Linked DNA regions of Drosophila melanogaster. The protein of the gene in region 1 interacts with the protein of each later gene in a pairwise test. Each region holds a gene or a part of one and is shown in the gene's direction. Other genes may lie near its edges.

The links.
Region 2: the proteins of CG8204 (region 1) and TfIIB interact in a two-hybrid assay, tested with the Drosophila melanogaster proteins (one large-scale study listed by BioGRID).
Region 3: the proteins of CG8204 (region 1) and flr interact in a two-hybrid assay, tested with the Drosophila melanogaster proteins (one large-scale study listed by BioGRID).
Region 4: the proteins of CG8204 (region 1) and Cp36 interact in a two-hybrid assay, tested with the Drosophila melanogaster proteins (one large-scale study listed by BioGRID).

The regions. Positions count from the first base shown.
Region 1 is NT_033778.4:15,570,946-15,577,708, reverse strand, and holds CG8204 (uncharacterized protein), read left to right. Parts: upstream 1-3,717; 5' UTR 3,718-3,975; coding exon 3,976-4,043; intron 4,044-4,098; coding exon 4,099-4,259; intron 4,260-4,317; coding exon 4,318-4,520; 3' UTR 4,521-4,565; downstream 4,566-6,763. Other genes in the region: Cdk5 (Cyclin-dependent kinase 5), read left to right, coding at 6,407-6,574, 6,639-6,763; CG30466 (uncharacterized protein), read right to left, coding at 4,783-4,896, 4,952-6,031.
Region 2 is NT_033779.5:10,427,329-10,435,200, forward strand, and holds TfIIB (transcription factor IIB), read left to right. Parts: upstream 1-4,009; 5' UTR 4,010-4,074; coding exon 4,075-4,091; intron 4,092-4,148; coding exon 4,149-4,560; intron 4,561-4,615; coding exon 4,616-4,850; intron 4,851-4,913; coding exon 4,914-5,197; 3' UTR 5,198-5,788; downstream 5,789-7,872. Other genes in the region: KdelR (KDEL receptor), read left to right, coding at 1-481; CG5188 (uncharacterized protein), read left to right, coding at 1,520-1,602, 1,658-2,331, 2,387-2,583; Bug22 (basal body up regulated gene 22), read right to left, coding at 2,731-3,054, 3,111-3,386; TBC1D16 (TBC1 domain family member 16), read right to left, coding at 5,827-6,450, 6,525-7,872. UniProt on the Drosophila melanogaster protein: General factor that plays a major role in the activation of eukaryotic genes transcribed by RNA polymerase II.
Region 3 is NT_037436.4:13,407,304-13,416,953, forward strand, and holds flr (flare), read left to right. Parts: upstream 1-5,539; 5' UTR 5,540-5,638; coding exon 5,639-5,672; intron 5,673-5,702; exon of another isoform or gene 5,703-5,748; coding exon of another isoform or gene 5,749-5,770; intron 5,771-6,013; coding exon 6,014-6,135; intron 6,136-6,754; coding exon 6,755-6,845; intron 6,846-7,033; coding exon 7,034-7,297; intron 7,298-7,362; coding exon 7,363-8,417; intron 8,418-8,473; coding exon 8,474-8,624; intron 8,625-8,691; coding exon 8,692-8,801; 3' UTR 8,802-9,150; downstream 9,151-9,650. Other genes in the region: CG10222 (uncharacterized protein), read right to left, coding at 4,226-5,149. UniProt on the Drosophila melanogaster protein: Induces disassembly of actin filaments in conjunction with ADF/cofilin family proteins. Together with GMF, promotes Arp2/3-nucleated actin filament array disassembly. Essential for organismal and cell viability.
Region 4 is NC_004354.4:8,476,105-8,483,650, forward strand, and holds Cp36 (chorion protein 36), read left to right. Parts: upstream 1-3,214; 5' UTR 3,215-3,252; coding exon 3,253-3,300; intron 3,301-3,389; coding exon 3,390-4,196; 3' UTR 4,197-4,419; downstream 4,420-7,546. Other genes in the region: Cp7Fc (chorion protein c at 7F), read left to right, coding at 1,023-1,091, 1,164-2,060; Cp38 (chorion protein 38), read left to right, coding at 5,810-5,854, 6,081-6,956.

The DNA.
Region 1 (6,763 bases):
ACCAATTTCCCCAGCTCCCATTATGAGTCGCAGATAAAACGCCGACATGGATGCCACTGGCGATGCATAGAAATAAAAATAAAGACCCAGTGGCAGTGAGTGCTTTATTAAGCATAATGCGGCCATAAAGCCATTCGAGCCAATCCAGCCAGTCGAGAGCCAGTCCAAAAGTCCTACTGCCTGCTGCCTGCGTCCTGATTTCGGGATGGGCATTACAGATAGCCGGGATTTAGACGCAGAGCTGAGCACTCCGCACTCCAAGGGCGAAGCAAAAAGGATTACGCCAAGGTATGGACAGCTCCTAATGATTGATGGGCCATTGCGGCCAATTCTTGGCGCTGGCTTTGTTTCGCCTCTATTGCATCCGCCGCTGCCTGTGGCGCCTCTCAATAAACCGAAGCCGTAGAAACCGTAAATCATGCTCCGTCCGTTGCGTGCCAAGTCATAAATACCCCGGCGGACCCGCTACTTGCCTCCTCCTCCTTCTCCTCCTCCTTGTGCTCCCCTCCCTCACTTCGCGTTGCAACTTCTAAAGCGGCCTGCAGCTTTTTAATTAAGGCACCAAGCGGCAAACAAAAAAAAAAGAGTAGCCAAAGTCAAAATAAAAACGTGGCGTATGTAACAAGTATAGGTTGCCCAAGGCAGCGATTAGTTGCTCTAACAATTCCAAGATCCGTTTCACTCATGGGAAAAGGATTTAGAGGCGCATGAGCTTGATTGATACAAAGCAAATATTTTCAAAATTCCCACTATACACTTTATTAAATCAATATCAGGCATTCTATTGAAGCTTAAGCTAAAGCTTCAATATTCTACATCCATATTCGGCTAACTCAGCCTGTTCCATCAAACTCCGCCAATGAGTTGAGCTACCTCTTAGGATGTGCAGTGTTATCTGCAACATAAGCTCGAAGAGATGGGGCAGGAGGAGCAGCAGGATCGGGAATGAGCAACTAGAGCCGCAGCGGCGGAAGACAAATGGCCAAGGCGCGAAGTGTTTGCAGGCCGCTGCCATCAATCAAAGCGGTGGACTCTAGGACTGCATCTTTTCGTCATGCAGTTAGATTTATGAACCTCCGGAATCGCTGTGCCTCCGTCCATTCTCGTCCCGGTCATATTGTAAATCATTTCCAAATTATTTAGTCGCTCTCGTTTCATATATATATTCATATTTTTGGCGCCTTTGCTTTTGCTCGTCGACGTCGAATGTGGCACGTGATTGCGTTATAAATTACAAGCCATTGGGATTCATATAGTCCTCGCAGCCCTTCCATTCCATCCCTCCGTGCATCGTGGTCTCCTGCTGATAGTTAATGTTCCCCGGCATCCGTTCGGCATTTCGAATTATTTTCGAATCCATTTGATGACCCACTAGTCCACTATCTCCAATACTCCGGTGAATTCCAATCGAATATGCTTGCAGATGTCGCGTTTGCATGCCTGCTATCACCCAATATGAATCCAACTACCTGGAAGGACTACAGGCGATCATCGCTATACGGAAAATAACCATTATTAAAGATTAAGAATCTATGGGACATACAATCTCCACTTGACATGTTGCATAATAGATATATTTATAGGGATTTAAACCTTTGCTGTGCAACACTTTGTGGTTAGTATGATAAAAAACTGCCTCCACAAGAACCAAACCTTTTTGAAAAAAGTACATTCGCGCTAAGGAAGTTCGACTGCCAAAGCCATATGTGTTGCATGTAATTTAATATTCATTATATGCACTATAAACGCTGTGCCACTACGATTGCATGATCTGTCAATCTGCCCAATTGCCAGGACTATCTGCCCCCTTATTTTTCCACCTTCCAGTGTTTTCCTCGTTTGGCTTTTCGGGCGATAAAAACGAAGCGAAAAGTGCCGCTATCTATTAATATCGCTTTTGGCTTTTTCGCTGGCGGCTAGCTGGTAACTGGTAGTTGGTAGTTGGTAGTTGGTATTTGGTAACTGGGAAAAGCTGGGAATGAAAAACGCTGAAAACTCCTAACGAACGACACCTGCCCTCGGAAAATGCCACTACTGCACCCCGCGAGAAACTTTCGCCCCATTTGGTGGCGTGTGTCTCGCTTTTCTTCTTGCTGTTTGCATTGGTCGCCCCTTTTCCTTTTGGCGATACACTGCTGCTGATGTTGCACGAATGTTGTAAATCAAAAGTAGGCGAGTCACACGAAGGGTCTTCCTGCCCCCCCGAAATCCCTGCCACCGCCGATAGCCGCTGCTTGCCAGCGCCTCTGCTGCTGCGCCTATTTGACTGGCAGGCCGAGCGGATAACGCTGGCAATTATCGCGCTTGTGCCTCACGAACAGCGGAAGCGGCAGAGGCGCCACATCATGTTACCCGGCCCGATTCCCCAGACCTTCCACATCCCCAAACTCTTTGTTAGCCTGCATCCTTTGCTTTCTTTTGTACCACTCGTTTTTCTTTGTGCAATCCAATTGGTAGCGCTCAGAAAACAAAGCAAAAACGATTGAAAATAACAACAACCAGTCCCGGCTACAAGTCCCCCAAAATATGGCAACAGAAACAAGAAGAAAAAAAACGATTCATATACGAGTATAGCCATGCACCTAGACCACCCCATCCGGTCAGTCAGTCAGTCATTGAAGTCATTTATTGCCACCAAAAGTTTTTCGCTGTTTGCCATACCCTCGCAGAGGTTATTACGGCTCAGACTAGGAGCAGGACACGAAGGATCTCAATGGGTGTAGTTATCGTATACAGGACTGTAAGAAGTTATAACCCAATGACATTACCTATAGGACTATCATTATTATCAAATCTTAATGACACACATCTATATGTGTATATTTCATAGCTGAATATGGCCATATAAATGAGATGTTTCTCTTGCAACTAAACCTACTTTTTAGGACTATATATTGTGCATACACATAACACGTTTTCATTAGAAAGAAAGCTTAATAACAAAGGGCATTCCATGCTTCGGTTAACCAATCGAGCCTCACTGTTGTACTTATTTTTACTTCTGGTTGTACTGTACTTGTCTTTGGAGCTGGAGCGGATCTGAACGACTCCTTCCCGGGAAGGACCGTTCCGTTTCAGTACGTTCCGTGTGCAGGATATGTTTACAATTTGCGGACACGCCGACCGTCATTTGATTGCTCCCCTCGCGCTTGTCGAATTCTCGGTTAATTCGCCAGGTGGCTTCAGACTGCGCATTGCCATCGGCGGCGGGGGGAAAGGATTGGGAGGCTTTGGGGCGGAAAAATGGGAGGGCAATGATAAGCGTTCCTCGTTTGTTTGCTCGGAAGCCTCACGGAAGATGACGTGCCCGGGATGGCCCATAAATGAGACTGGCCAAAGCAAACAGACCGGATACACAGGATACATTCAATCAAATAAGGCTATTCGTAACCGGAAAAGGGCAGGACGACTCTATGTCTTCCTCAATCTGACCAAACACTCCGCTAATCGTATGGTTAATAACTAAAATACCTGTGGATAATCTTTAAACGTTTTCAATATGTAAGTCAGTGAGATACAGATACAGTAGATTGAAGCTTTCTGACTATATAAAGTATTTACTTATTTATGATGAGCAAAATTGAATGTTGATGATGAACATTTTATTTGTTCCAGCAAATTGTTCAAATTCAAATTAAAAGTAATGGCGCCAAAGATAGAATTCATCTGTTGACGAAGGCTGGCAGCTACAGAACAATCTAACTAAGCTATGGGATTCGTTTCAACACACTCGTCGTAGAACTCCACTAGTTTTGTTTTCTCACTAAATTAACATGCAGCCCCGCGATCTTATGCGCATTTTAATATTATTCTGCTTGCGTTTTGCATTTAACTTTTTGATTGTTTACCTCCAAAAACATAACGCCGTTCCAGTGGAGCAGAAACGGCTTGGAACCCTCGATAGAGGCAAAAGCTGGAGGCTATAAAACTCGCACAGCTGAGTTTTATTTTGCACGCGACATTGAATTTGATGAGATGGAAAAATGCATTATTTGCGTAGATAACTTGAGAAAATACAAGTGCAGCAAATGCTCGGCACCCTAGTAAGTAGCTATTCGAACAGTTCACTACGGAGATAATAAATGTCGCAAAATGTAGCTGCTCTGTGGCTTGTTATAAGACACACAGGGATTCGCCCCAATGTGCGACAAGGGAGTCCGACTTGAAAAAGACTGAAGTTGGCTACCAGGAGGAACCTACGCTTCATGTGCCCTTCCCCACCGACGACACAGTTGCCGCGGAGAAGCTCCAGCAACTAGGTAGGTGTTTAAATTCGCAATTATACACATTTCTCATAGTATGATGGTTTCCGTACAGAAAACTGCCAGGAACTGCGTAATTTGCTCCACAATCCACACCTGCGTTCGCTGCTCCAGCAGATTGATGTGGCCATCAATGCCCAGTCGGCCATGATGGCCGCCATGCAGGAGCCACTCTTCGTGGAGTTCGCTAATGCCTGCCTTCAAGTCGTCGAACCGATGACGGATGCTGAGCGCACTGAATTTGAGTTGTACTCCTGAATTAAGTTGACACACAGTCTCAATAAAACTAAGCCTTTATTTTGTAACTAATAGTACTGTCAATCCTTGGCAGCTTCTAGAGGAGCTTGCATTGAAGAACTCCTGGAAACTTCTCATTGAAATCCGCCGGTAAGGTTGAATCTTTTCCATAACCAGGGAAAACGTACAACTAATTATTTGGCTCGGCCATTTAAAGTTATCTATCTCAGCTGGCATATCAAACTAGTCATCAGTCTACAGCTTCGTTCCTTGGCAATCAAACTCAATCAAAGTAAATTGAAACTGGATCCGAGTTAAAAGTGATTTTTGGATGCTTCATGTGCAACTTGAAAAGCCTATGTTCCCCTTGCACTTTCCAGGTCATGGGGATGGGATCCTGTAATGAAAAATATTAGAAACGAAAGCTAATATAAGTTGTGAAATACTTAGACCTCATTAGACATGAGATACGTGTTTAGTTCCACATAAATATTAAGTGCTGTGGTACGGTTTTCTCCCAGTTTCTTCGCATCGAATGTGAACTCCTTAAATCCGAAGGTGCAATGGTATATACCCAGGACCTCGTGTGTGTTTAGGTTTTGTATTAAGGTATGAAACTTAATTTCGTCCACACAAACCGAATTTTGTATATAAAATTCATTGACATTAATGTGAAGATGCTGATACGCATGCATACCAAAATTAGCCACCTTTAGGGTCTTAATAGCCACATTTAAACCGTAAGTTTCACAAAATATGGATGTATTTTGGCTTATCTCGATCATATTTATAGTGCTTCTCTTCGCAGCTATGAGAATCTCTCTCAGAAATCCGTATCTAACGTGACCACAAAGAAATAGCTTCTTCAAGTGAGTTAGACGTTCCAGTTTCGATAGGAACCACACCATCATTTCCTCCTGGAAGCACTGCAGCTGCTCTAGGTTTCTAATCCCTTTCCAGGGCAGTTCTGTGTTCGAAATCTGGTCAATATCGAAGATACCCAGCTTCAGGGATTTTATTTTTCTGGTTTTCAGGATCTGTATCAAGTTGGTGACATTGAATTTGCTGCAGTAGGAGACCGTGAGGTTCTCGAGAAACTCGAATTCATCAAAGTGTTTGCCAGTAAACTTTCCATGGGGGCTAAAAGTTGTCAGATTTGGAAAAGTTTTCAACATTCTTGGCACGTCCGCATCGTTTAAGTTAAACGAATGCGTGGAAAATCGAAAATCTTTAAGTTTTGGAAAACTACAGCTGGTAAGTGTTTCGAAGTTAGATCTATTATTCATTTTGAGCCGCAGAGTGCTGAGGATTTGTTGAGTACTTTCCAGGAAGAATAGCAAATCCTTGTCGCTCAGCTGCATTTCAATCAAGGATATATATGCACATTTGTTATAAGCACGCCACACATACGGCATTAATTTCTTAAACCGGAAATGAAAGTCTTTCAGTTTTAGTTGGGTCTTCAAGTCGAGATAACTTAGAATTATCATTAGAACATCATCGGGCAGACATAGTAAGCCAGGCTTGGTATTCTGCAAAGGGCAAAAGAAATTAGGAAACTTGTATACTTATATTTCTGCTATATTGTTGCATTGCGGTACCATAAGATCGGTGTTTATCATTGTCGGTCTATATTCGTATGTTTAGCTAATATCGAGTCCAAATAAAACAATAAAATTATAACAAAAGTTTTATCAACATTTTTAAAATGATATCTGTTAATTTTGAGTATTTTTGGTGACAGCAGACTGTCAGCTGCGATGTTGGTTAGTCACCGCGTGCTGTAAGCGAATAACAGTGTGCTGTTAGGCGCACGAATCCCTGGCCAGCAAAAACAAACTGCAAAAACAATAATCCCCGGAGTTTTCCATCTGAACGCAAAATAATACACACCAAAACACAGCAAAATGCAGAAGTACGATAAAATGGAGAAGATCGGGGAGGGCACCTACGGCACGGTGTTCAAGGGTCGCAACCGCGACACCATGGAAATAGTGGCCCTGAAACGGGTGCGACTGGACGAGGACGACGAGGGTGTGCCCAGTTCTGCCCTCCGGGAGATCTGCCTGCTGAAGGTCAGTCGGACGAGCAGGAAGTGATTCCAGTTTATAAACTAAATCGGCACATTACCATCCGTAGGAGCTGAAGCACAAGAACATTGTGCGCCTCATAGACGTCCTGCACTCGGACAAGAAACTCACCCTGGTCTTCGAGCACTGCGACCAGGACCTCAAGAAGTACTTTGACAGCCTCAACGGGGAGAT
Region 2 (7,872 bases), on another chromosome or scaffold:
CACCTACGTGAGCCTGTACAACTCGGTGATGAAGGTGTTGTTCCTGGCCACGTCCGGTGCCACCGTGTATTTGATGTACGTGAAGTTTAAGGCCACCTATGACCACAATCACGATTCGTTCCGCATCGAATTCCTGCTGGTGCCGTGCGCCCTGCTCTCGCTGGTGATCAATCATGAGTTTACCGTGATGGAAGTGCTGTGGACATTCTCGATCTATTTGGAATCGGTGGCCATTCTGCCGCAGCTGTTCCTAGTGAGCAGAACCGGCGAGGCCGAGTCCATCACCAGCCACTACCTCTTCGCCCTGGGATCGTACCGTGCACTCTACTTGCTCAACTGGGTCTACCGGTACATGGTCGAGTCGCACTACGACCTTATCGCGATCTTCGCCGGAGTTGTCCAGACCGTCTTGTACTGCGACTTCTTCTACTTATACATTACCAAAGTTCTTAAGGGCAAGAAGCTCCAGCTGCCGGCATAAGCGGATGATGGATAAGTGCATAGATGTGGGACATTTGTGTTTTGTCGGCACACATCATCAATCGACGTCAGAGTAAACAAGCGAGCGATCCACGGCCCGTTTGACAACGCGTATTTCGTTCATATTATACAAAAGATACATAATCGAGGGGAGCGCCTAAGTTGTAATTATTTAATGAGAAATAAACCGAAAATCGAAAGTACACTATAAACTATGCAATACCGACATCGTACATTGAAAATGTAACAAATGTATTAATCTCCGTTTTCCGAACTGCACTCACAAATTTTAGAATCCAAAAATATTAAAAAAAAAAATCATTACTCCAGTAAGAGATAACGTTAATTGACAAAATCGAAACAAATGTTTTCTCTTTTGCGCGGAGGCTTATCTGATTCGCAATAGTATCACAGAAGAGGTCATAGATTTCTTTGTTTAATTAAGAATTTAAAGTTATGCATTAAATAGCTCTTAAGTCGACTGTATCCTAAAAATCCGAGTAAAGTTAAGTCTTATTGTGTGGCTAATAGTAAAGTAAATGATGAGCGATGTCAACATATAATACACATAATATTCTGAAAAATAGGCCGCAGGATCGTAGGAACTCCATGTGCTGTTTTGCACAACTTCTATTGAATTCCGAAAAGATATATTAAATTTCTGCAACACCCTCGTTTCCCCTTGCACGCTTCGCAGTCATGCCAGATGCAAATGGAAAATTTAATTTATATGGAGATCATGTACGAAACAAATACGAACCTAATGTGGCATAAATAATATTTTAAACACTTTTGCAGATATTATATTATAAACAAAGTACAATAAACAACTCGATTTTCTTTTATTTATTAGATTACAATGCAAAGAGTTAGTAAGGATGTATAAATATATATTACATCTCTATAAATTGTTTAGTTTCCAAAAACTTGAAGCACTGTGCCGTTATCAAAAAAGGGGGAATACCCCTAACACTCGGCTGTTATCTGTAAAAATATTTACAGCACTGCCACACTGCAAAAATGTCATAATCAAAACAAAATGAGAAGAATTGGTCTTTTAAATAGTTTAATGCGCCAGAAAACGACTGCCAGAAACTTGTTTCAGTTCGGCAAAGTTAAGGGGTATGGGCTCCGGCTTATCTCTTTCAGGACTCTATTCTGATGGGTATACTTACAGAGATACTGGCAAATATGAACAGATCGTGTCCACCGGCCAAGTTTCCCCGGAACGTTTTGTGCCCGAGGAGATCAAGAAACCGGCGTACTACTTCAAGAATATGCCACCGGGTAACACGCTGGGATCGCCCGAAATCAAAAGCCAGGTTCAGATTGATGCCATGCGTCTAAGCGGCAGACTGGCGGCCAGGATACTGCGCGAATGCGGTAAACTAGCAACAGTTGGCACAACCACCGATCAGATTGATGCCTTTGCGCATGAAAGAATTCTCGAGTCCAAAGCGTATCCGTCGCCGCTGAGATACGCCGGCTTCCCAAAGTCCATTTGCACGTCGATCAACAATATCGCCTGTCACGGAATTCCGGATGACCGGCAGTTGGCCGATGGGGATATTATAAATATTGATGTCACAGTCTTTTTGAACGGCTACCATGGCGACTGTTCGGAAACATTTCGGGTGGGCAACGTGGACGAACGGGGTGGCTTTCTCGTGGAGGCCACTAAATCCTGTTTGGATCAGTGCATTTCGCTGTGCGGCCCCGGTGTGGAATTCAATGAGATTGGAAAGTTCATAGACAGATATTGCGACGAACATGATCTGGCATCGATAGCTGCTTTCATTGGACATGGAATCGGTAGCTATTTCCACGGCCCCCCGGAGATACTACACTATTGTAAGTAAGACTGTTTAAGAGACTCCTCCATTGCTAATCAAACTGCACATCGTAGATAATGAGATTCCTGGAAAGATGCAGCCCGGCATGACCTTCACCATTGAACCCATTCTGTCCCTGGGCGGAGCAGAAATAGCAGTGCTGCAAGATGGCTGGACGGCCATTAGTTTGGATGGCGCACGTAGCGCCCAGTTCGAGCACACCATTCTGATAACCGAGACGGGAACGGAGATACTTACAAGAGATCAATAGAATTTTATGTACATGATGCAATTTTTATTCGTGATTCCCATAAAGTGTTGAATGAGTGCTGGATGGCAGTCTTGTGCATTTTGTGCCGTTTTAATCGTCGACTCCGTCTGGTTAGGTGCTCTAATTGATTGATGATGCATACAGAATTTAGCTACAAATCGCATTGGACTTCTGCACCGGCTTCTGAATGGGAAGGAAGAGCTTAAACTCCGGCGGCAGCTCGTCCTCCGAGTAGAGACGATCGGAGAAGTAGACGCGTCTGATGCGGCAATTTGCATGAATCTGTACACGGAGTGTCTCCACATAATTGGTGCCGTATGCGCGACGCGTGAAGTCGGACAGGTTGAACTGGATCTGGTTCCATCCCTCGTCCAATCGCATGGGCATGGTGCAAATGAAAGGCTTGACACGAGTTGTCGACTGGTAGTTACTGGCCCTAAACCTTCGCCGCACGTTCTTGTCATCGAGAACCTGATTAGGGGCGGAAATCATGGAGTTACTGTCTTATGCAAGATGACGAAGCTTACCTGAACCTCGAAGGTGAAGTACTTCTTCATGTTCTTGATGATCATCACCAGGAAGGGCAGCTTGATGCCCAGCGTCTTCTTCGGATCTGCCGGACATGTTATGAACGTGGTGCTGACATTGGTGCCGACTATTTCCAACACGAGGCTTTGTATGTCGTTGTCGGTGATCCGCTTGATGTGTCCATTGCGCACCTTCTTATCCCACAGCTGCAGTGGCTTTGAGCCAATACTGTACAGAATTGATAGGAATCCCGATTGGAAAGTGTTTTTGAACATTTCGCGACTGCTGTGCAGTGACCGGTTCGCCCCACGGAGAGTATAGTCTCTTCGAAATTTATATAGGGCCAGTTAAGGTTGGCCGTAAATTTTTCGCACAGCCGAAACTCGTACAAACTACGAACATCAATGCGGAACTTGATTATTTTCTCATGTCAATGAGTTTGTTTAGCACGGCATCCTGTTGTTGCCATAACAATAAGCGAGCAGGGTTGCCACGTTTCCAAATGCTTGAACATGCTCGCATGTTTATGTGGGGTGCGAAATTGCGAAGTTGAAGGCCTGTCTCGCTTATGGAACGGTGAAAAAGAAACAGCTTAAAAAATAAATAATAACATGCGTTAATTTGGAATTGGCTAGACAAAAAACATCTATTATTGTTAAAAATTTTTATTTATGAATTAATAACTTTTAATCAAGTTAAAATGGTGCTTATTATTAACAGCATGGAAACTTAAAATATAGAACATTAATTGTGAAAGTAAAACAGATTGCTAAAATGCTAAAGGTGGTTAAGTTATTATTAACAGCAAGAAAACTTAAAATACAGAAAAATAATTATTAAAGTTGACTTTCCCATATTCCGATTTCTGTGAAGCAAAAACCTAAGCAGCTATCGAGTTATCGGGCAAAGTCACATCACCAGTTGATGTGAGTATTAAAAAAATATATAGCTTACAGAGTACAAATGGCATCGACATCGAGGTAAAAGTCGGGTTTCCTAACAATTTGTGAACACCAATAATGGCTTACTGCTTGCAGACTGGACAACAACAAGGTGTGCTGCTACGCACACCCCGAATCTCCGCTCATCGAGGACTACAGGGCTGGCGATATGATTTGCTCCGAGTGTGGTCTGGTGGTTGGGGACCGCGTAATTGATGTGGGCTCCGAGTGGCGTACCTTTAGCAACGAGAAGAGCGGCGTGGATCCCAGTCGTGTCGGTGGACCGGAGAATCCGCTGCTCAGTGGCGGCGACTTGTCCACCATAATTGGTCCGGGCACAGGATCCGCATCCTTTGACGCCTTTGGAGCACCCAAGTACCAAAACAGACGCACCATGAGCAGCTCGGATCGCTCCCTCATATCAGCCTTTAAGGAGATATCCTCGATGGCCGATCGCATTAACTTGCCCAAAACCATTGTCGATCGGGCCAACAACTTGTTCAAACAGGTGAAATTCGAGTTCGCGGTTGATTTGGTTGAGACCTCATGCCGTTTTCTTGTAGGTTCATGATGGAAAGAACCTCAAGGGTCGTTCCAACGATGCCAAGGCATCCGCTTGTCTGTATATAGCTTGTCGCCAAGAAGGAGTTCCTCGCACATTCAAGGAAATATGTGCTGTCAGCAAGATCAGCAAAAAAGAGATTGGCCGTTGCTTTAAGCTAACATTGAAGGCTCTCGAGACAAGTGTGGATCTCATAACCACTGCGGACTTCATGTGCCGCTTCTGCGCCAACTTGGGTAAGTGTTTTTACACTTTCTGTACTTGAAGGTAGCAGGATTAATACCTATAATTCTTATCAGACCTGCCGAACATGGTCCAACGCGCTGCCACGCACATTGCAAAGAAAGCCGTCGAGATGGATATTGTACCGGGACGTTCGCCAATTTCTGTGGCCGCAGCCGCAATCTATATGGCCTCACAAGCATCCGAGCATAAGAGAAGCCAGAAGGAAATCGGTGATATAGCCGGTGTGGCCGACGTCACCATCAGACAGTCCTACAAACTTATGTATCCGCACGCAGCTAAGCTTTTCCCCGAGGACTTTAAGTTTACCACTCCCATTGATCAGTTACCACAGATGTAATTCTTTTCGTAGATCCGATGCTCAATACTAACGCTAACGTTAAGTGAAGGAAAATTCCTAATTTAATCACAAATTACGATTTTATTAAATAAAGTTAGCATAACTAATATTCAAATAGAACTGTTGGACCAATCAGAACATAATTAAATCATTGTTAAATTAATTATCTGAGTTAAACCCTTTCAGTTTTTGAACTTTATTCCAATGATTCGTAATACTTTGCTTGCTTGATTTATTTTTACATTTTTTGTGTATCTTTGGTATAATATAAGCTAATAACCAGAAACAAAAATTGCACACTACGTTTATTTGCCAGTTATTTGCGAAAATAAGTTTAACAAACCACGTACTCTGTTTATACATAAGCTTTAAGTAATTAGTAATAATATAAATGGATAAAAAATTCGCAAATAAGACGACCAATCTGTAACTTTCAACATTATCAATTGCAAATAAAGCGGGGCGTTTAAACGTAGTAAATGGCTAAATTCATTTAGAGAGCCAAGCAGGGCAGCAAACTAATAATTCCAAAGCATAATACATGTGCTAATAGTTAATAGTTAATGACGAATTATATCAGTCGCCAACAATAGTTATTGCTGAGTTTAAACAGTGTATATATTAGATAACTAGTCAATAGAAAGCGAGCACTTTTCGTCATCACTGTGGCCCACGCACTCCAGCGCCGGTCGATGCTCGGAGTCCCACATTCCCGGACCGCAACGCTTGCACAGGCCACTCAGGGTGCACGGAATCTTCGGCAACTGGCGGTACTGGTGGAGCAGGCCGCGCGCCTTTCGCAAGATCAGTTGGCCGTCCATGTACATGGCCAGCGAACTGAAGTGCAGCAGCATCTCGTCCGGGCGTAGATTCTGTGCCACCACATCGTCCGCATAGACAGCGATGATGGCCAGGCAGAGGAACAGATGAAAGTAGTCTGTCAAGTAGTTTGACCAGCACGCCTCCCACATCCGTATGACCACCGCTTCGGTGAATTCGCGCTTAAAGCACAATAGCAGCCAACGATGGCAAAAGAGCAGCTCCATGGAGTCGTTGTGCTGTTCCAGATGCTTGTAGAAGTGCGGCAGCATTATCCGGATCAGTTCGCGCAGGTAGCTCAGATTGTGGTCCACATCCCGGTCGGTGGGAGTGCAGACGAAGAAGGCCCGCTGCATCAGGCCAACGAAGCACCAGAAGGTCTCGGACTCGTTTTGAACTTCGCACAGGACAGGCGCAAGGAGATCACTCATACCCTGTGGGTTATAAACCAAAATATTAAGGACAATTTGAAGAAGCGAGCTAACCATTAACTGGATCTAGGACCCACCTGGGAATAGGACATTCCGGTGTTGTATACGGCAAAGTTAAGCAAAATGTTTTTCATGACCTCGGTATTGGGATTATCGTCGCCGCAGAAGAACGGATTGGTGCGATCCGTGCGAACCACATCCTTCTCCACCACAATCTGCACGGTCTTCCAGAAGTGAATTTGCTGTTCTGGGGACATCGAGTACAGGCGCTTTCGCGTAATTTCCTCGTACTCCTGCCGCTTGATGTCCATGAGCACTGCGCGATCCTCGAATGTCGAGGAGAATGAGTAGCACTTTAGAAGGAATGGCCACACCGTCTTTCGCAGACTCTTTTCCAAGCCACCAAAGAAGACACATTTCCGGAGCAGCAAGTCGTCCTCGATCTGTCCCTTCTCATTGAGCAGCGTGCCGTAGAAAAAGTTCGTTGTTATCTTCTTGACATCGCCCTCGTCCGGATGCATTTCCGATTTCTTAACCTCCGGCCGACAGACCATGAAGTGCCTGTACGGCAAATCGAATTTATCCTGGCCCGTTTCCGATGTGATGTTGTGCAGAAAGCAGTGCCACTGGTGCAGCACCTGGGCCAGGTGATCCAAGCCACCGTAATGGAAATGTAGAATCTTGTACTGCGACTCCCGCGACGCGATCACCAGCTGACCCGAAGTGCAGTTGTCGTCATTGAAGAAAAGGCGCAGAGATCGCATTTGGCTTAGGTCAACGGAGAAATGGCGGCACTTCATCGCGGATTTTTGGCGATCGGCTGGCGTCGAATTGCCGCTATCCGGGAACTCCAGGTTGTGCTTGAAGGCCAGCAGTTCAGGTGTTGTCCACTTTGGGTTATCGGTTGCCGGGCCATCGCCTACTCCAGAACCATTCGTGCAATCGGAGCAATTGTTACTATCCGGCCGGATGGTGATGCAGTTGAAGGACTGCGATATATTGCTGTTCTCGATCTGCGGATTGGAGATCGTTATGTTCACCGACGTGATGGGGTTATTCTTCAGCAGAGCGGTCAAGTCGTCTATGGATGCAGCTTGGCCACCCAGCAGCGGTTGCAGTTCGTTCTTTAGCTCCTGCATATCCGCCGCGTTCTCATCCTCCTCCCGAATGTCCCTCTCCTGGATCGTCTGCGGTATGGTCACGTGGCAGTAGCCGTTTCGAGAGTCCGGCGACTTGCTCCTCGGATTACACTGACCCCGGCAATCGTCGGCATTCAGATTGGTATACTTGCATAGCGACGAGTTCGGTATCCAGGTGAGCAGAAGCGTGGGCCTCTTGGCGCTATTATACTGATCTACAAAGGTCTTTGTCGTGCAGGTCAAATAGCCCGGATTGTGCAGTATATCCGACTCATCGCGGGCGATT
Region 3 (9,650 bases), on another chromosome or scaffold:
AAAACGAGCTCCCGAAACTCTCTTTTGACTTTGGCGGTTTGCTTTGCATGTATGCGGTGTGGCAGGGCCCAAAGGGGCGCAACGCGGCGGGGGGCGTGGCAGTTGGCCGATAAACTAGGCCCAGTCAGTCGCGTAAGTCAGGCGGCAGTCGAATGGGAATGGGCGCAGGAAAATCAATTCATTGGCCCTGAACAGATTTCCCTTTATCTCCGGCAGACCCAAGACCTTTCATCTCTCGACTGGTCGTCGGTCGGCTGATTTGCATATGTTTTGGTACTTTGGAACCTCGGTACTTCGTACGTATGTAGTTGCGACAAAGGCCCTCATAATTGCTTGATTTAGCGACCCATTCAAGGCGAAAAGTCGGCGCCAGCCGCATCTCAGTAACTTGGCTTCCAGGCTAGCACCCGGTGTAAATTGTCGTCCGCGAATGCTACGTGTGGTGCTGCCATTACACTTGTAAAATAGTTGGCCAATAATGGGAAAGCTATGGGGAAGCACAATAAAATACGATTCCGAATAAGTAACTTCGATCTCTGAACCTTATGGTTCCTACAATATACCTTTATAGATACTATATTTATTTTGTCCTTTCTTTCTCTGTTTTTCCAAACAGAAAGTAAGTCTTTTGAGTTCAACATCGAATTCTATATTTTGTATTCCTAAAAAACTTTTTTTTTTAATAGCAACTTACTAAAATCGTAATTTTAATCTCTGTGCAGATTCTTTCTGTGTTTTTTTTTTAGTGGTAGTGGGTGTCTTGTCGCTTAAATTGCCAAGCAATTCATAAGTGTCAACGCGTCTCATATGAACGATGGTAACAAACTTGAGCAAGGGGGAAATGCTGGAGCTGATTTATGAGTTTGCTCGGTTTCCCGAATGGGTTAAGTCACAAATAGAACAAGTTTAAGAGTTCAAGCCGAGATAATATTTTAATAAATCCAAAAAATCACTGTTTTTCATTCCGTACCTTAATCTCTCACTCTCGACTTGTATAACTTTTTTTCGAAATAAATGCACAAAATCGAGTATCCCTGTAGTAAAGAACGGTTTTTTTCAAAACATTCTCGTTCTCTTAAGCTTACTACTTTCCCATCCTGTTGATTTCCAACTGTTCTCGTCTCGGCATACGATCAAAATATTTGCATAAGCAGCGTCCTGAATTACAGTTTAAGCCAGTAAACTCAAGCCAACAGAGTGCAAAGGGCCAACACAGTGGTGAGCAGCGTCATGTGCTCGCTGCAAATACAGATACACAGATACAGATACACCGAACCTGAGGACTTAAAACCCACCGAAGACGACGACGACAGCAGGCACGCGCCCCGATCCCGAATCCAAAACCCGAAAGGCGATTCATGAACTCAGGTACTAAGGGAAGGCAAGAAATGAGCAACAGCAAGGGAAAAACAAAAAAAAAAATACGAAAAAGGACCCAAAAATGTGCAACTGTTGGGCGATCTCATATGATCGCGGTCGGGTGAATAACCCGGAGAGGTTTCTTTAAAGAATCTCGATCTAGTGGAGCTTAGTTTATAATTTTCGACAGGAAAAAGCTGCTGCTGCTGGGAGATGAAAGATCTTATCGTATCTAATATCTGTGCGCGGGTTCGATCAAATTACAGTTCCGGTCAAGATTGAGCATTTGGTTCCGCTTTTTGTTTCGGGGATGAAGACAATGCAGCAGGGGCAACCGTTAACCTTAAGTTAATGATTTGGCCGATGCCTTTGCTTGCTGGTTGCTGCCTGCGCTTCAAGTGCAGCATATGGCATTTTTACTCCTCTTGCTGCGGCTTCAGCACAACTGACGCAGGATACGCAGGATACCCGGCCTACCTACGATCTGGGTTTCGGATCGGCGGCTCACTTCCTATCCTCCACATGGGCCCGCCAATCTGCCCATATCTCGCCCTTCTCTCTCGAGTATGTAAAAAGATCAATCAAATATTGTGTATTCCCTCGCCGAGTTCGATTCTCCCTAGGTGGAATTCTACTCGTATCTAGATGCCCACTTGACTTGGGCTGTTTTTTTAGGCATTTATACCGTGTAATAATAGGGAATGGGGGTGCACAGGGTATCGTTGGGGTATGATGGGTGTAGCGAGCGTATGAGGGGAGTGATAAGAACTGGCCAAGAACGTGGCCAATTGATATGAAAATCGCTATACCTCACGTTTTCGGACGATGTTTTTTTTTTTTGAAACATTCTTTTATTTATCTTTATTAAACGTTAAATGGGATAAATTGAAGTGATTAACTTAAACTCCTTAAATTAAGGGATTCTTGTTAATAGTTCCGTACTTCGTGTTTTCTAGGTCATCTCCTAGTCCTATGCCCTTAGAGCCGAAACTCCTTTATTTTTTTCCGGTTGCTTAGCTGGCACATTTTTCCCCGACTGCCGCTGCTGGTGTGCACCTGCTTTTCGGGAACAGGACGCGCGTCTTTTGACCGCAATCGTTGCCAGGACTGGCCTGGAAAGCAAAACCAAATAGCGCTCTTACAAGCCAGGTCGCTTAACTGTTTAGCCTGACGCGCTTACATCGCAGGGGATCGCACTTATGGCTTTTGAGGACGCGACGAATTATCCTGCAGAGCGTGTGCCAAAAAAACAAGAAACCGCAGCCCGCTGCTTTACACAAATCGCAAAGGCAAAACGAATCCGAGCCCCACTCACTTCGTCCTGGCACGAAACCACTTTCGTTTATTTTAATTTGGCTTGCGGTCAAGGGGATCGGTGCTTTGGGGGATTGGGAATGGGAATGGGGACTGGGGAATTGGCAGCCAGCCTGCTGCAATCTGACAAGAGCCTGCTGCATTTAATAACTGTTTTCGTTTTTGCCGCTGTTTTCTTATGCCCTACAAAGAGGAGCCACCAGCTTAAGCAGAGGGCTTTTAAATATCTTTATAATCAATGCTATACAGCAAATTTATCTTTCATGATTTGTTGTAAACGCTCATTCTTTGGTGAGAAATCCAATAAATTCTTAAAACTCTTTATTCTTTTTTAGCCCTTAAGAGTTTTAAATCCTAAAGCGTATCATTTAAACATGTATAAGGAAGATCCATAACTCCTTTTTAGATTTAAGAACAAGCGTAAATTAGCATAACTTGGCTGGTTTTTAATAAACAACTTTTTCGCTTCATTAAATAAAAGCTACCCGCAAAAGGGGATTCACGAATCGGCTTAAAATAAGATGACTCCTGGTGCTTTTTTATATCCCAACGCGTCTTCCCGTGTCTGCAAGACGGAGCCCCCGAGTGCTCACGACTTGGTCGTGGTATAGGAGTCAATGGCAATCCCGTTTTGTGGTGCACGTGCCACAATTTGCAGCTTGCCACGAGATGTTCACCGGTCGTTCCAGCTCTTATCTCGCAAAACAACGCGCCTCGGACTTAATTAATTTTTATTTATGTTAACGAGGACTTTGCTTTTAGTTAAATCAAAGTATAGGGTTCAGATGCAGATCCTTTTCGACTCAAGTTGAACTTTTGGTTTTTGTATGCTAAAAAGGACGCTTTTGTTTGATTGAAGCCTAACTAATTTACCGAGAAACGTGGGTCTTTTTGATGAGATCTACCAGACTTCGAAATTCATACCTGTTCTTATGTAATAAGTTATTATTTAGTATAAGTTTCTTTATTGATATTTTAGATCAGTTCAATTGTCAATTTTTATTCGCCTAGCAAAGGATATTCTTAAAATCATAATTTATATAAATACAATTTTCTCCATTTGACATATTTTCTGAAAAAGTCAACAAAGCCCAAAAACAAAACAAAACGAAATGATTTTTGTTGTATTTTTTTTTATTAAATTTAATTTAATAATTCTGAATTCAAACCCGTACAATTCTGTACATCTGTAAAATTTTACATACATCATACGTTTTAACGTTTGCAGCGACATCTAGTGGTGGTCTGGATTTTCCAAGTTCAAATGTAGAGTTCTCTTGGTGTTTTCCGATTAGGTGATCCTCAAGTGATTATCAACCATTCTTATTGCAATGTATTTAAACAACTTTAAAGGTTTATTTCCTCTTAAAAATATGTGGTTAGAAAAACAACTAAAAAAGTTTAAGAGTTCAAGCCGAGATAATATTTTAATAAATCCAAAAAATCACTGCTTTTCATTCCGTACCTTAATCCCTCACTCTCGACTTGTATAACTTATTTTCGAAATACAATGCACAATATCACAGGCTATTTTCGATTAGTTTCAGTTCTTTTATTCCATATAGGGTTGGACATCATGCTCCATGCGAGCGGCCTCAGTTTCTGCACCCACGGCGCAGGCTAGTAGTGAGTTGACCGTCTGCTCCTCACCTGCCTTGTAGACGTATCCATTAGCCTTGTCGATGTGATTGCGCAAGCGGAGCATGCTGTCCGTGCTGAAGACGTCCAGCAGTTGGAACGAAACGAGAGCGTAGTCCTCCACCATGGAGCAGATGGCTGCATTCAGTTTTCGATACTTGCGCATGGCGGGATCATCGTCCAGTTTGTCCAGCAGATACTTGAGGTCCAGGACGTCCGTATAATAGTCCACGTTAAAGTGTAACTTGGTCTCGTGCTTCTTTAGCAGATCGGCCTTGGAAAGCACATTAACGTGGGGTAGACTCATCCGCAACATGGTGTTCAATGCCATCAGCAAAGTGGCAATGAATTTGGCAGGCTCCGAGCAGTAATGGGAATCTATAAGGTTAACGGTGACCAGGCTATATCTTTCACGCTCCAAACGCTCGAAAATCCGGGCCATAGCGTTGTGATGGGTATATAGCTCAACTTGGCCGGGACAGTCGAACAGGAAGTAGTTGTAAGTGGCGCTTAGTTTGCGCAGTGCCGGCAACAGCCAATCCTCCAAATGGTCGGCCAGATACTCAGCGCAGTGCATTAGAGCTCCGTTTGGTCCCAGCTTCAGGTGCTCCATGCAATCCTCCACAGTGATTAGCTCCATCACACTTAGCACCGGTTCGTAGGACATGTTTTCGTTGGCTGGATCCAGATTCACAACGCCCACCTGACGGCCCAGTTCGCGATAGAACTTAAGGGCCTCACCGCAATAGGTGGTTTTCCCAGAACCAGGAGGTCCTATGATTAGCTGTCCATAACGTGGATTCTCCACGGTCGCCTGCGTCGGAAATCTTTGCATCATTCTTGCGGAAAATGAAAAATATAAACAATGGTAGAGGTGGGGAACCACAGAGACCGATTAATTTATTTGGCGCAATTTATCGATATTTAGATAGTTTTTGAAAAATATACATTTTATTAAATTAGATAAAAATACAATTTTGATTATATATTTCCTTTTCAAATATAGGAAATTGAAAACTCAATCCCAAAAAAAAAAACAATTTTTTAGTGTATAATTAAAAACGGTAGCAATTAGTAGTTACTGTTAGTATAAAACACAGAACAATATATTTTTAATTTCCTTCCAGTTCACTTCGCTGTTAAAAAGGGGTAAACGCAGCGCAAAGTCGATATAAAGCAAAGAAAAAACCATCGATGACGACGATGGTGAAAACATCGATCTTAGCCCACCACTAATCGTCGGCGAACTTGAGTTTGGTGTTTTCATTTATCCGCGGAATTTCGCACTAATTAGTAAAGGCTTCAGGAGCACCGAGAAATCACCAGAATGGCACAACCCCAACCACCGGCGTACGAAAACAGTGAGTTGGAATCCCACAGAGATAAACTGGAGTCATGAATCCGATCCCACTCCGAATGTGATACGTAGAGAGGGGGATGAGTCAACAGGCGAAAAACGGTAAAAGCAGAAAGCAATCGCCGGAAGCACCGTGATTATGCCCATAAATGGGCATAGATGCATATGAAAGACCTTTTTAAGCAGTAAGAGGAGGCGCGTGTGGAGCCGTTGGAGCGACCCCGTTCCCGTTCGCTCCCCAAAAACGAAGCCGCACCCTATTTTCCACCCACTCCAATTTGCCGGCGTTATCTGAGTAGCAGCAGTCACAGCCCATTTCTAATCGAAATAATCGCTTAATTGCAGAAAACATCTACGCAACTCTGCCGCGCACCCAACGCGGCCAACCCATCGTTTTGGGTGCCGATCCCAAGGGCAAGAACTTCCTGTACACCAATGGAAACTCTGTGATCATCCGGAACATCGAGGTAAGCTGATATATGCTGCAGCCTGCTGCTCCGTTCCTGCCATAAATCCATGGCATTTACGTCCAAATGGTGTTTTATTTTTGGACAGGCTGCAGTTTCTGTTGCCAGTTTGTGTGTGCTTTCTGGCTTTCGGGCAGCTGTTCTATATTTATTTATATATATATGTACAGTATATAAGGCGCAAAACACAGATTCCCATTCCACAGGCCAACCGGCAAAACACAGACTGGCACATAGATACATTTCTTGTTTGCCGCCCACGCATCATCATTATGATGTTTTCATCTGGTCAAAGTGATTCTTCACAGCAGCTATGTGTTTGCCTATCTTTCACCCATTGAATCGGTATAAATTCAAAATATTTCCATGTTTCTTTGTCTTTTGTCCCGATAATCCCGCCACTTCTATGGTATCTTTAATGATCAAGAAATAAAATCTTCCGCCAAAAGATATTCAGGTTCTGGAAAATGAAATGTTAATGAAGGAAACATACATAACAAATTCAAAACCAAACACCTATGTTCATAATTAGGATCCCATTTACCATTAATTTGTTTTAATTTGCTAAAAGTGTCTCTAAAATATGTATGTATGCTTTTCCCTTTCTTCCGCACCATAGAATCCAGCCATTGCCGATGTCTACACGGAGCACTCGTGTGCAGTGAACGTGGCCAAGTACTCGCCCAGCGGATTTTATATTGCATCTGGTGGTAAGTCTCGCCCAGCAATTTCACACTTGGAGCACCCGGCTTTCGGCAACAGAGCATAAAAATCGTGACCACTATGAGTCACGCCACGGTCATGATTAGCATTTCCTTATTTGGAGCGGTTTCTTTATCTTATCTGCGGTTTTGAAGCGAGCAATGTTATTTATTTGGCTTTCTCCTCTTCTCACCAGACGCCTCCGGCAAGATTCGCATTTGGGACACGGTCAACAAGGAGCACCTGCTTAAAAATGAGTTCCAGCCCATTGCAGGACCCATCAAGGATATTAGCTGGTCGCCAGACAATCAGCGCATCGTTGCCGTGGGTGAAGGACGCGAACGTTTCGGTCATGTCTTTATGTCTGAAACCGGCACGTCTGTGGGCGAGATCAGTGGCCAGTCCAAGTCTATTAACTCGGCGGACTTCCGGCCAGCCAGGCCATTCCGCATTGTTACGGGTGAGTTCACATAATAGTCCCAAAATGCAATAAACTTACTTACACACACACACTTGTTATTACAGGCAGCGAAGACAATACTATCGCCGTGTTCGAGGGACCCCCGTTCAAGTTCAAGATGACCAAGCAGGATCACTCTCGCTTCGTCCAGGCTGTGCGCTACTCGCCCGATGGCAAATTCTTCGCCTCCGCCGGCTTTGATGGCAAAGTCTTTCTGTACGATGGCACCAGCTCTGAACTGGTGGGCGAATTTGGATCTCCTGCCCACAAGGGCGGCGTTTACGCATTGGCCTGGAAACCAGACAGCACCCAACTGCTAACCTGCTCCGGCGACAAGACGTGCCGCCTTTGGACAGTGGAGTCGCGCGAGCTGGTTAGCGAGTTTGTGATGGGCACCACTGTGGACGACCAGCAGGTGTCCTGCTTGTGGCAAGGAGACAACCTAATCACCGTCTCGCTTTCGGGCGTGATCACCTACCTCAATGTGGCGGATCCCTCGAAACCGCTGCGTGTGGTGAAGGGCCACAATAAGCCCATCACCGTGCTGGGACTGAGCGATGACCGCAGCACCATATACACGGGTAGCCACGATGGCGTGGTGACCAACTGGAACTCGGGCAGCGGCACCAACGATCGCATCACGGGCACTGGACACGGAAACCAGATCAACGGCATTGCCGCCTGGGGTGACTTTGTCTATACCTGTGGCATCGACGACAGCCTACGCCAGTTCAGCGTGGAGGGCAACTCCTACACGGACTATGTGGTGAAGCTTAACTGCCAGCCACGTGGCTTGGCCATTTTGCGCAACGAGAACATCATTGCACTTGCTTGCATCAAAGAGTTGACTCTCGTGCAGGACCAGAAGAAGATCTTTTCGCTGCCCATTAAGTACGAGGCTAGCTCGATTGCCGTTAATGCGGACACTTCCGATGTTGCTGTCGGCGGGGATGACCAAAAGTTGCACATCTACACCCTGAAGGGCGGAGTATTGGAGCCCAAAGTGGAGCTGGATCACTTGGGAGCTGTCACGGATGTTTCTTATTCGCCGGACTTGAAGTATTTGGTGGCTTGCGATGCCCATCGCAAGGTGGTGCTCTACTCAGTGGAGGAGTACAAGGTATTAAGGAATCATAAATGTCTTAATTCCATTACTAATCGAGTGTATTTTAAAAGCCTGCACACAACAAGGAGTGGGGCTTCCACAGTGCTCGCGTAAATACGGTGGCCTGGTCGCCCAACTCGCTGCTGGTTGCTAGTGGATCATTGGACACTACTATCATTATCTGGTCCGTGGCCAATCCGGCCAAACATACTATCATCAAGAGTAAGTATTTCAAAAAGAGTAGTAAGCTTTAAGCGATATCTGACATATTGTTTTCTGCCCACTCCAGATGCCCATCCGCAGTCGCAAATCACTCGGTTGGTCTGGCTGGACAATAACACTGTGATCTCCACCGGACAGGACTGCAACACCAAGGTGTGGCACGTGGAAAACATTTAAATGCGCCGGCCGTGAAGCATATTTTTATACTTATCCAGGGAGAGCAGCCAGCAGCGCCCTGGCTTCATTTCATTTAAGTGCAACAGTTTACATTTAGATATTTATGTCTTTTTCCCCGCCCTCCCCGCACACCTCATGTCATGTCTTTAATTTTAAGCCAAAAGTGTTTGCTAATCATCATATCATGGATATTCAACTACTTTGCCCCACTATCATTTTCGTATGTGTTTTTCGAACAATTTTTATACTACTGGAACTACGAACTACGAAAGGAAACACAAAGATATGTAAAGTACGCCAGCGTACATAAATTATTGTATTATGAAATGAAATATACTAGTTTTTGCATAGCTCGCCGATTACTTTTCTCCATTTGGTTGCGATCGGGAAAATTAGCTAAACACGCACAATTTCTTTGGCTTCTTAAACATTTATTCCTTTGAAAATTGTGTTTTTTTTTTTTTTTGGTTTGGTAGGTCTTCACCCTGTCTTTTTGTGTGCAAGTGTGTGTGCGTGTTCAGGTGTATAATTACAATATTTATAAAAACTTGGCTTAGATTACTAGAATGTGTGGACGTGTGCTTGTGAGAGAGCGTGAAAGCGAAAGGATTGTGTTTGTAACTTGCAGTTTGAGAGCCTCGGAGGTTGCTAAAGTTTCAGAAAAAATAAACGTAAATTGTGCTAAACGTAAGTACATAAATTAAGATAGCTAGAAAGGCGCTCGAGTGCAGAAGACGAAAAACGAATTGCGCTAATTATCACAGCCGGGTCTAAGACGTTGGTTTCGGTGGGACTAAAAGTTGACATATTCATATGTTGGGCACCTCATGAGTGGGTGATGAAAATTGG
Region 4 (7,546 bases), on another chromosome or scaffold:
TTGGGTGCACCTTTGGCATAGAAAGAGCTAGCTATATGATACCCCTAAAAGTATGCCCACCGAAATGAACAGCTCTTAATCCTAAGCATTTCAAATATTATAATAGCCTAATGGCATATTACTTTGATAAATAATTAAGGGTTTTAGCATTTATTTACCTAACACAATTCTTCTGTTTTTTAGTCTTAGTCGTTAGTCTTAGTAAGCTCACTTATCATTAAAGAGCCAGTATATATAATATATATGATTTATTTGCATACGATCACGATCTGTTAATGGCCAAATATTTATTGTTCTACATAAACAAATGGTGGTGGTGGTTCATCATTCAGCGACAAAATTCTTGCGATTGCATACTATTGAAAAGCCAAAAGATACTCGCAACCGAAAGCCACAAAAAACTCACTGAACTTCGTGACCATAAGAGCAAAACATTTCTAGAAGAATACTCAAGATTCATAGGTACTAAGTAATAATAAATAATGTATAGTATGCAAAATGCAATAACTGGTTATTAATCTATCGTTTCAGACTAGAATTTTATAAAATATGTCAGGCAGACTTACTCACTTATCCTTTGATTAAAGAAGTAGGGTGTTTAGTAACATAGTTTATTGTGCGATTTTTGTAGAATCGAATGCGATGTAATCCCAAGACCTTGTAATTCTCGGCATGTCAACAATGTTTTACAGCATCCAATTAATGGCACATACACCCATTAAAAAACCAACTAAAGTATCGTTAAATTATTGCAAGCGAACCCATTGACTAGTGCCAAAGAATTCGAATGACCCTGGCTTGGTGTTTCTCACAGTTTTTTTTTTTTTTTTTTTTTGTTTTTTTTCTTCTCTCTGACGCATCAAGATCGCTGGAGATTCGTGGATGAGACATTTAGTGAATAGTGAATATGGCATATCTGGTTATAGATCACGTCCCGGCACGCCATTTTATTTTTTAACCGAATCGAGCTACTTTTGTGGGTATTTAAATGGATTCCATGGGAGCCGGGGCCCTCAGTCGAAATGGCAGCCGACGGCAGTTGGCCTATACTACTCTTGTTGGTCTCAACACAGGCCATTATTCACGCTGAGGTGGGTTCATTATATACACTCCGTTTATACAATAAATAAATAATGCTTGTATATTCTTCATTATTCGTTCAGAATCTAAGTGAATCCACGCCCGGCCCCGATGAGGAATACAATGTGAGCACAACTCCGGGTGCGCCGCTGGAAGAGACCACCAATCGCTTGGCTGCTCGCGTTGAGCCATACGATAAGGGTGATCGGGAGCAGTACGATGTGATCGATGTGGCCACAGCTACCGGTACGGTGATGGGCAAGCCCAGAAGTGGACAGACCACGAGAATCTACACCACCGGCGAAGTGGACGAAAGCTTTTGGCTAAAGCATCTGGGCGATGACTTCAAACATGCCATCCATCTGCAGGTGGGCGGCACCAACGAAGAGTACAATCGCCTGATTAACCGGACCCAGAACGGTGTCCACGAGGAGGTGCATCACGAGTATTTACCGGGGGCCGAACGACCTGGCAGCGCAGTCCAGCCTCCATCTCCTCTACCTGCGCCACACCAATCGCGTCCAGCTTATCGTCAGGGTTTCGACAATCGAGCCATGGCCATGAAACAGCAGTATCTCATCCATCAGCAGACCCAGCAATCGCATCCTGCCCAGCAACGCTATAACTATGCCCAACAGCATGCACAACACTATGCACCACAACCACAACTGCAACCGCAACCACAACCACAACCACAATACCCACAGCACACACCGCACAGAAACACGTATGCAATGCCTCAGAATTATGGGCAGCAGAACTACAAGCCGCAGAGTTATATTATCAACTCTAGCGAAGATCAGCTGCACGCCGAGCAATCGAATCCCTCGCCAATGAAATCAGCTGGAGAGGATCGACAACATCACGAGGAGGAGTTTGACTCCTTTGGCGGTCAGCTCAACTTCAAATCACCCTTCAATGACTACGGCAGTCGACCAGCACGAGATCTCACCTACCTTCTTTATAAGCGGGGTCTCTAGAAGCTAAATCCATGTCCACGTCAAACCAAAGACTTGCGGTCTCCAGACCATTGAGTTCTATAAATGGGACTGAGCCACACCATACACCACACACCACACATACACACACGCCAACACATTACACACAACACGAACTACACAAACACTGAGATTAAGGAAATTATTAAAAAAAATAATAAAATTAATACAAAAAAAATATATATATATACAAAAATTTGTTGTGTTTGAATTGAATTAAGAGCTTATCAAGAAAAAAATTTCAGTGACTCATAATACACTACTCTACAAGTTTAAATTGAATCAACAATTTAACTTTCATTGCTCAGGTTTTTAGTAACAATGTTTATATAAGTTTAGGTATAACAAATGATTTAAATATAAGATACTGTATTTCACATTGAGACGAAACAATCCACCGAAAATCATAAAATATAAGAATGTTGCATTTTATTTTTAAAAATAAAGATGCCTTTTAAGAGGAATAACTTAAATGTCTTTAATACCTTTGAATTTAATTATATGGCTAATAAACACAAACTTAAAGCTTAAAACTGCATCGAATTGAATGCGGTTATAAATGTACTTATATATCTAATATAATCTGCTAATATGGTTTACATGGTATATCTTTCTCGGAAATTTTTACAAAAATTATCTATTCATATATCTCGAGCGTAAGATATTTATCAGTTTATAGATAACATCTTTAAATTTGGGTGATTAAAAAAAAACATTGCTGCAGGGCATGTTTATGTACACATTTCAGTATAAGTCCCAAGTTAAAATGCAATGTAAAAACATATAAAGGATATTAACTTCAAACCCAAAGGATTGCAGAGAGATTGCAGCACAGCTGTAATCATCGCAACAAGGCAACCAAAACGAGACTCTCGTAGCGTTGGCATCATATTCGATCTTTGGAAGAGCTATGATTCAAGCCAAGGGAAACAACTGCCAAAAAATAGAAGATTGCGACGAGCGGAAAGCAGAGTGGTGCACCACGGTGCATAGGTGCATAGGAGGTTGGTTGTCTAGAGATCTGGGCACGATGGCGAGACAAAGATGCGGCGCAAAATCGGAAATGGAGATGGATCACGTAGCCGGCCATGGCGGGCAGCGATTATAGGCGCTATAAAGAGCCGGAGTCATCGCCAGACAGCGAGCAGTAGACGATCCACACGTAAACGGCAACATGCAACTCGGTCTCTGGTTTGGCATTTTGGCCATCGCCGCCACGCCGGTTAGTAGCTTTTATCCATGGCATTCGCATTGGGCATCCCGCTAATCTCGCAAACTCTCTCTCTCTCTCTCTTACCTCCTCCTCATTAGCTGGTGAGCGCTAACTATGGTCCCGCTGGCGGACACGGACACGGACATGGACATGGACAGTACCTGTCCGGTCCCAATGCCGGACTCGAGGAGTACGTGAATGTGGCGTCTGGTGGCAACCAGCAGGCTGCCAATCAGATCGCCTCACAGGCCGAGATCCAGCCCACGCCGGAGGAGGCCCGTCGTTTGGGTCGCGTCCAGGCCCAACTTCAGGCCCTCAATGCCGATCCCAACTACCAGAAGCTGAAGAACTCCGAGGATATTGCCGAATCTCTGGCCGAGACCAATCTGGCCAGCAATATCCGTCAGGGCAAGATCAAGGTGGTGTCGCCACAGTTCGTTGACCAGCATCTGTTCCGCTCCCTGTTGGTGCCATCGGGCCACAACAATCACCAGGTGATCGCCACCCAGCCCCTGCCACCAATCATTGTCCACCAGCCTGGTGCACCACCAGCCCATGTGAACAGCGGCCCACCGACTGTGGTGCGCGGCAATCCGGTGATCTACAAGATCAAGCCCTCGGTCATCTACCAACAGGAGGTGATCAACAAGGTGCCCACTCCGCTGAGCCTCAACCCCGTCTACGTGAAGGTCTACAAGCCCGGCAAGAAGATCGAGGCTCCACTGGCCCCGGTGGTTGCACCCGTCTACAGCCAGCCCAGGGAGTACAGCCAGCCCCAGGGTTATGGTAGTGCCGGAGCTGCTTCCTCCGCCGCCGGTGCCGCCTCCTCTGCCGATGGCAATGCCTACGGCAACGAGGCTCCACTGTACAACAGCCCCGCGCCCTATGGCCAGCCCAACTACTAAGGTGCTCATCCTGGGCATGGGTTGCTCCTCAGCTGCGACAGCTGGTTTAATTTAAATTTTTGTTTTTTTTTTTCTTTGCCGAACTACTGAGCGCAAATAAATGAAAAAAAAATACTTGAAACGTAAACGTTTTGTCATCAATTATTTTCGACCGGAAGGGGCTACCTGAGTGGCAATGAAGCACACAGATTAAGCACATATTTATGAATATATAAATATATACGAATGCATGAGAGAACAAAAAATTATATCTAGTTTTCTTCAAAAATAAATAATAAAGGGGAAAATGGTATAAAGTATGAACATAAAATTATGAACGAGTATAAATAAGTTTGTAATTGAAATCTCTACGGTCATACAAGTATTTTAACTATTCTATAAATATGCATAAACATGGTACGCATTTTATGAGATACAATTCGAAAGATATTGGATAGCATTATCATGCATGAAATTATTTCACACTCTTGTGATGGTAGCTATCTTATTCCAGTTATCGTTTAATTGCAAAGAATGGGATCAAAAGGTCATCTTTATCAACATATTGTTGATTCCGGAATGAATAATAAATAATAACATAACTATGAATTAATGGAGCAACTATAATTTTACGGCCTCTTTTCTTTTAAACAAAGAATATAGCACTTTTAATGCATTAAATACGTATTTAAACCTTTTCTTTTGAAACGCCAAATTCATATTAGAGTTTCATAAGATTGTTTTAAAACATAACAACATAATAATTGAAGAATTGGAAATCTTTTTAGGTGTTTGTAAGCCTTTGAATTCCTAATTGGAATAGCTAAAGATCCATATTTCATCTTCAAATCTCTTTGCAACTAGAGATTTATTTTATCTGGCAATTATTAAGTATACATTTTTATATGGTACTTTAAACTGATGGTTTAATCAGTTACATGGATTTTCTAAATTAAAAATGGTCATGTGAAGATAGCCACTCTTCTAACAATCTAATCACATTTATAGTAAGAAATACAATACAATACAATACAATACAATACAATACAATACAATACAATAGAAAGACAATCGAATCTGCGCAATCCGTGTGAAATTCAAGGACTACAGCTGGGTGGCTAATCATTTCCCCCTATCCACTTACACCTCGGATTACCTCTTATTCCGACTCCCGGAGTCTTGTGTCTGCCAATGCGGAACTATTTTCGCTATCTGAACAGACGTTCGGACCTCGATATGCGGCAAAGATTCACAGCCCGGCTGTTGATTCCGATTCGGTGGCAATGTGTTCGTTGTTATTGTAAAACGGGCAATGGCAACTGGGCAGTGGGCAGTGGGGTTTTCGGGTTGTGGCTTCTACGTAAGTGGAAGAGACGCCGTGATATGCGCTGGCAGCGATGCGTGCGATCTATCAACATTTGGCCATGTTTCGTTCGCATCGCGTGGGCCCGGAGCGGAACAGCCGGCACCGGAGTTGGCATCAATCCAAATGTCACGTACCCGGAGCCGGAGACGCGTCCGGAGCATATTTAAAGTAGTCGGCCACCAATGGAGGGCAGCAGAAGACAGCAGACAGTCCAAGCGGGAGCACACCAGAAGCCGAAGAGCAACTGGAACTGCAACTGGGAGACAAGATGACGAGATCGACCTACATTTGGGCGCTGGCCGCCTGCCTGATCGTAAGTGTTCAAGCTCGAAATCTTAGGATTAATCCCAAGAAAACCAAGTCTATCAATTCTGACTGCTTTCGTTTGTGCCATGTAAATCGTACATGAAAAGCAAATTGACTTTCCTTTAAATTACTTGAAACGGAATCAAGCTATCTATCGATGCTAGACTTATTTTAAGTATATGTATATGTCGATCCAATTCTAATCCACCCCCCCCCCCTCAATTTACTTTTAGGCCTGTGCAAGCGCCAACTACGGCAGTTCCCAGGGCTATGGACCCGAGTCCGGAAGCGGTGCCTCCGATGGCGGTGCTGATGCCGCTTCAGCGGCCGCAGCAGCTGCCGGCGGTGCCGGTGGAGCTGGTGGCGAGTACGGTGGTGCTAACGCCGGTGCTGGTGCTCTCGAATCCGGAGCCGATGCCGCCGGTGTGGCACAGGCTGGCCAGAGCAGCTACGGATCCGACCAGAACATTCCGTACAAGCCGGTGAACACCAAGGGTAACACCCTGACCTCATCGATCACCTACCCGCAGAACAAGGGCGAGATCCTCATCCATCGTCCCGCTCCCATCATTGTCAAGCGTCCGCCCACCAAGGTGCTGGTGAACCATCCACCATTGGTGGTTAAGCCCGCTCCCGTGGTGCTCCACAAGCCCCCAGCAATCGTTCTCCGCAAGGTCTACGTCAAGCACCACCCACGTCGCGTCAAGGTTGAGCCCGTGTTCGTCAATGTGGTCAAGCCCCCAGCAGAGAAGTACTTTGTCAACGAGAACAAGCAGGGCTACGGACAGGGCTCGCAGTCCCACGGACACGGCCATGGACACGGTGGCCATGGACACGGACACAGCGGACACGGACACGGTGGACACGGTGCTGGACCCCATGGTCCTGGACCCCATGACGGTGGCCGTGCTCTGCCCGCCTACGCTTCGGGAGCTGATTCCGCTGCCGCCAGCGCTGGCTATCAGCTGCTCCAGAGCGGCAACCAGGGTCTGTCCGCTCTTGCCAACATCGCCGGCGAGCGTGAGGGTCCCTATGGTCCCGCTCCAAGCCATCAGCACTATAGCGCCGGTCCAGCCGGACATGGCGGCTATGCTGCTCCCGCCTATTAGGTAACAGATGCGGAGGAGTTACGGATTGGATGACTGCTGCGGCTCCGGAATCAACTGAAGCGGCTGGTTTAGTCATTCGCTTATCCGGCTGATTAGTTACTATGTTTTTTTTACAAAAAAAAAAAAAAAAAACAGCCTGATCGACCAACGCCCATGCCTACGCCCACGCCCACTCATGCACACCCCAATACCACCCACTCACCCATTCAACGGCCCAGGAGGGGCGTGGCACTCAGGTTTCTTTGCAAAACAAATAAAAAATTTGAACAAAAAAAAAAAAACAATTATACCCAAGCTGAATGTTGTTTTCGATGAAGGGTGAAATCTAGATGCTAGTTATATTTAAATTAAACTATCATTAGATATATACTCTAATTGATAGTTATTGATAGTCTTGCGACTCATTTTAAACTTGATACACTTATAGCATAGACAGTGAGTAATATCATTGATATTATTATATAATTATTGTTACACAAAGTGCATATGATGAGAATCGATTTAATGATGGGAGAACTGACTTACCCGCAACTTTATTCGCAGCAACAAGTGTCGCATATAATAAATACAATAAATCCGAAACGCAGGCT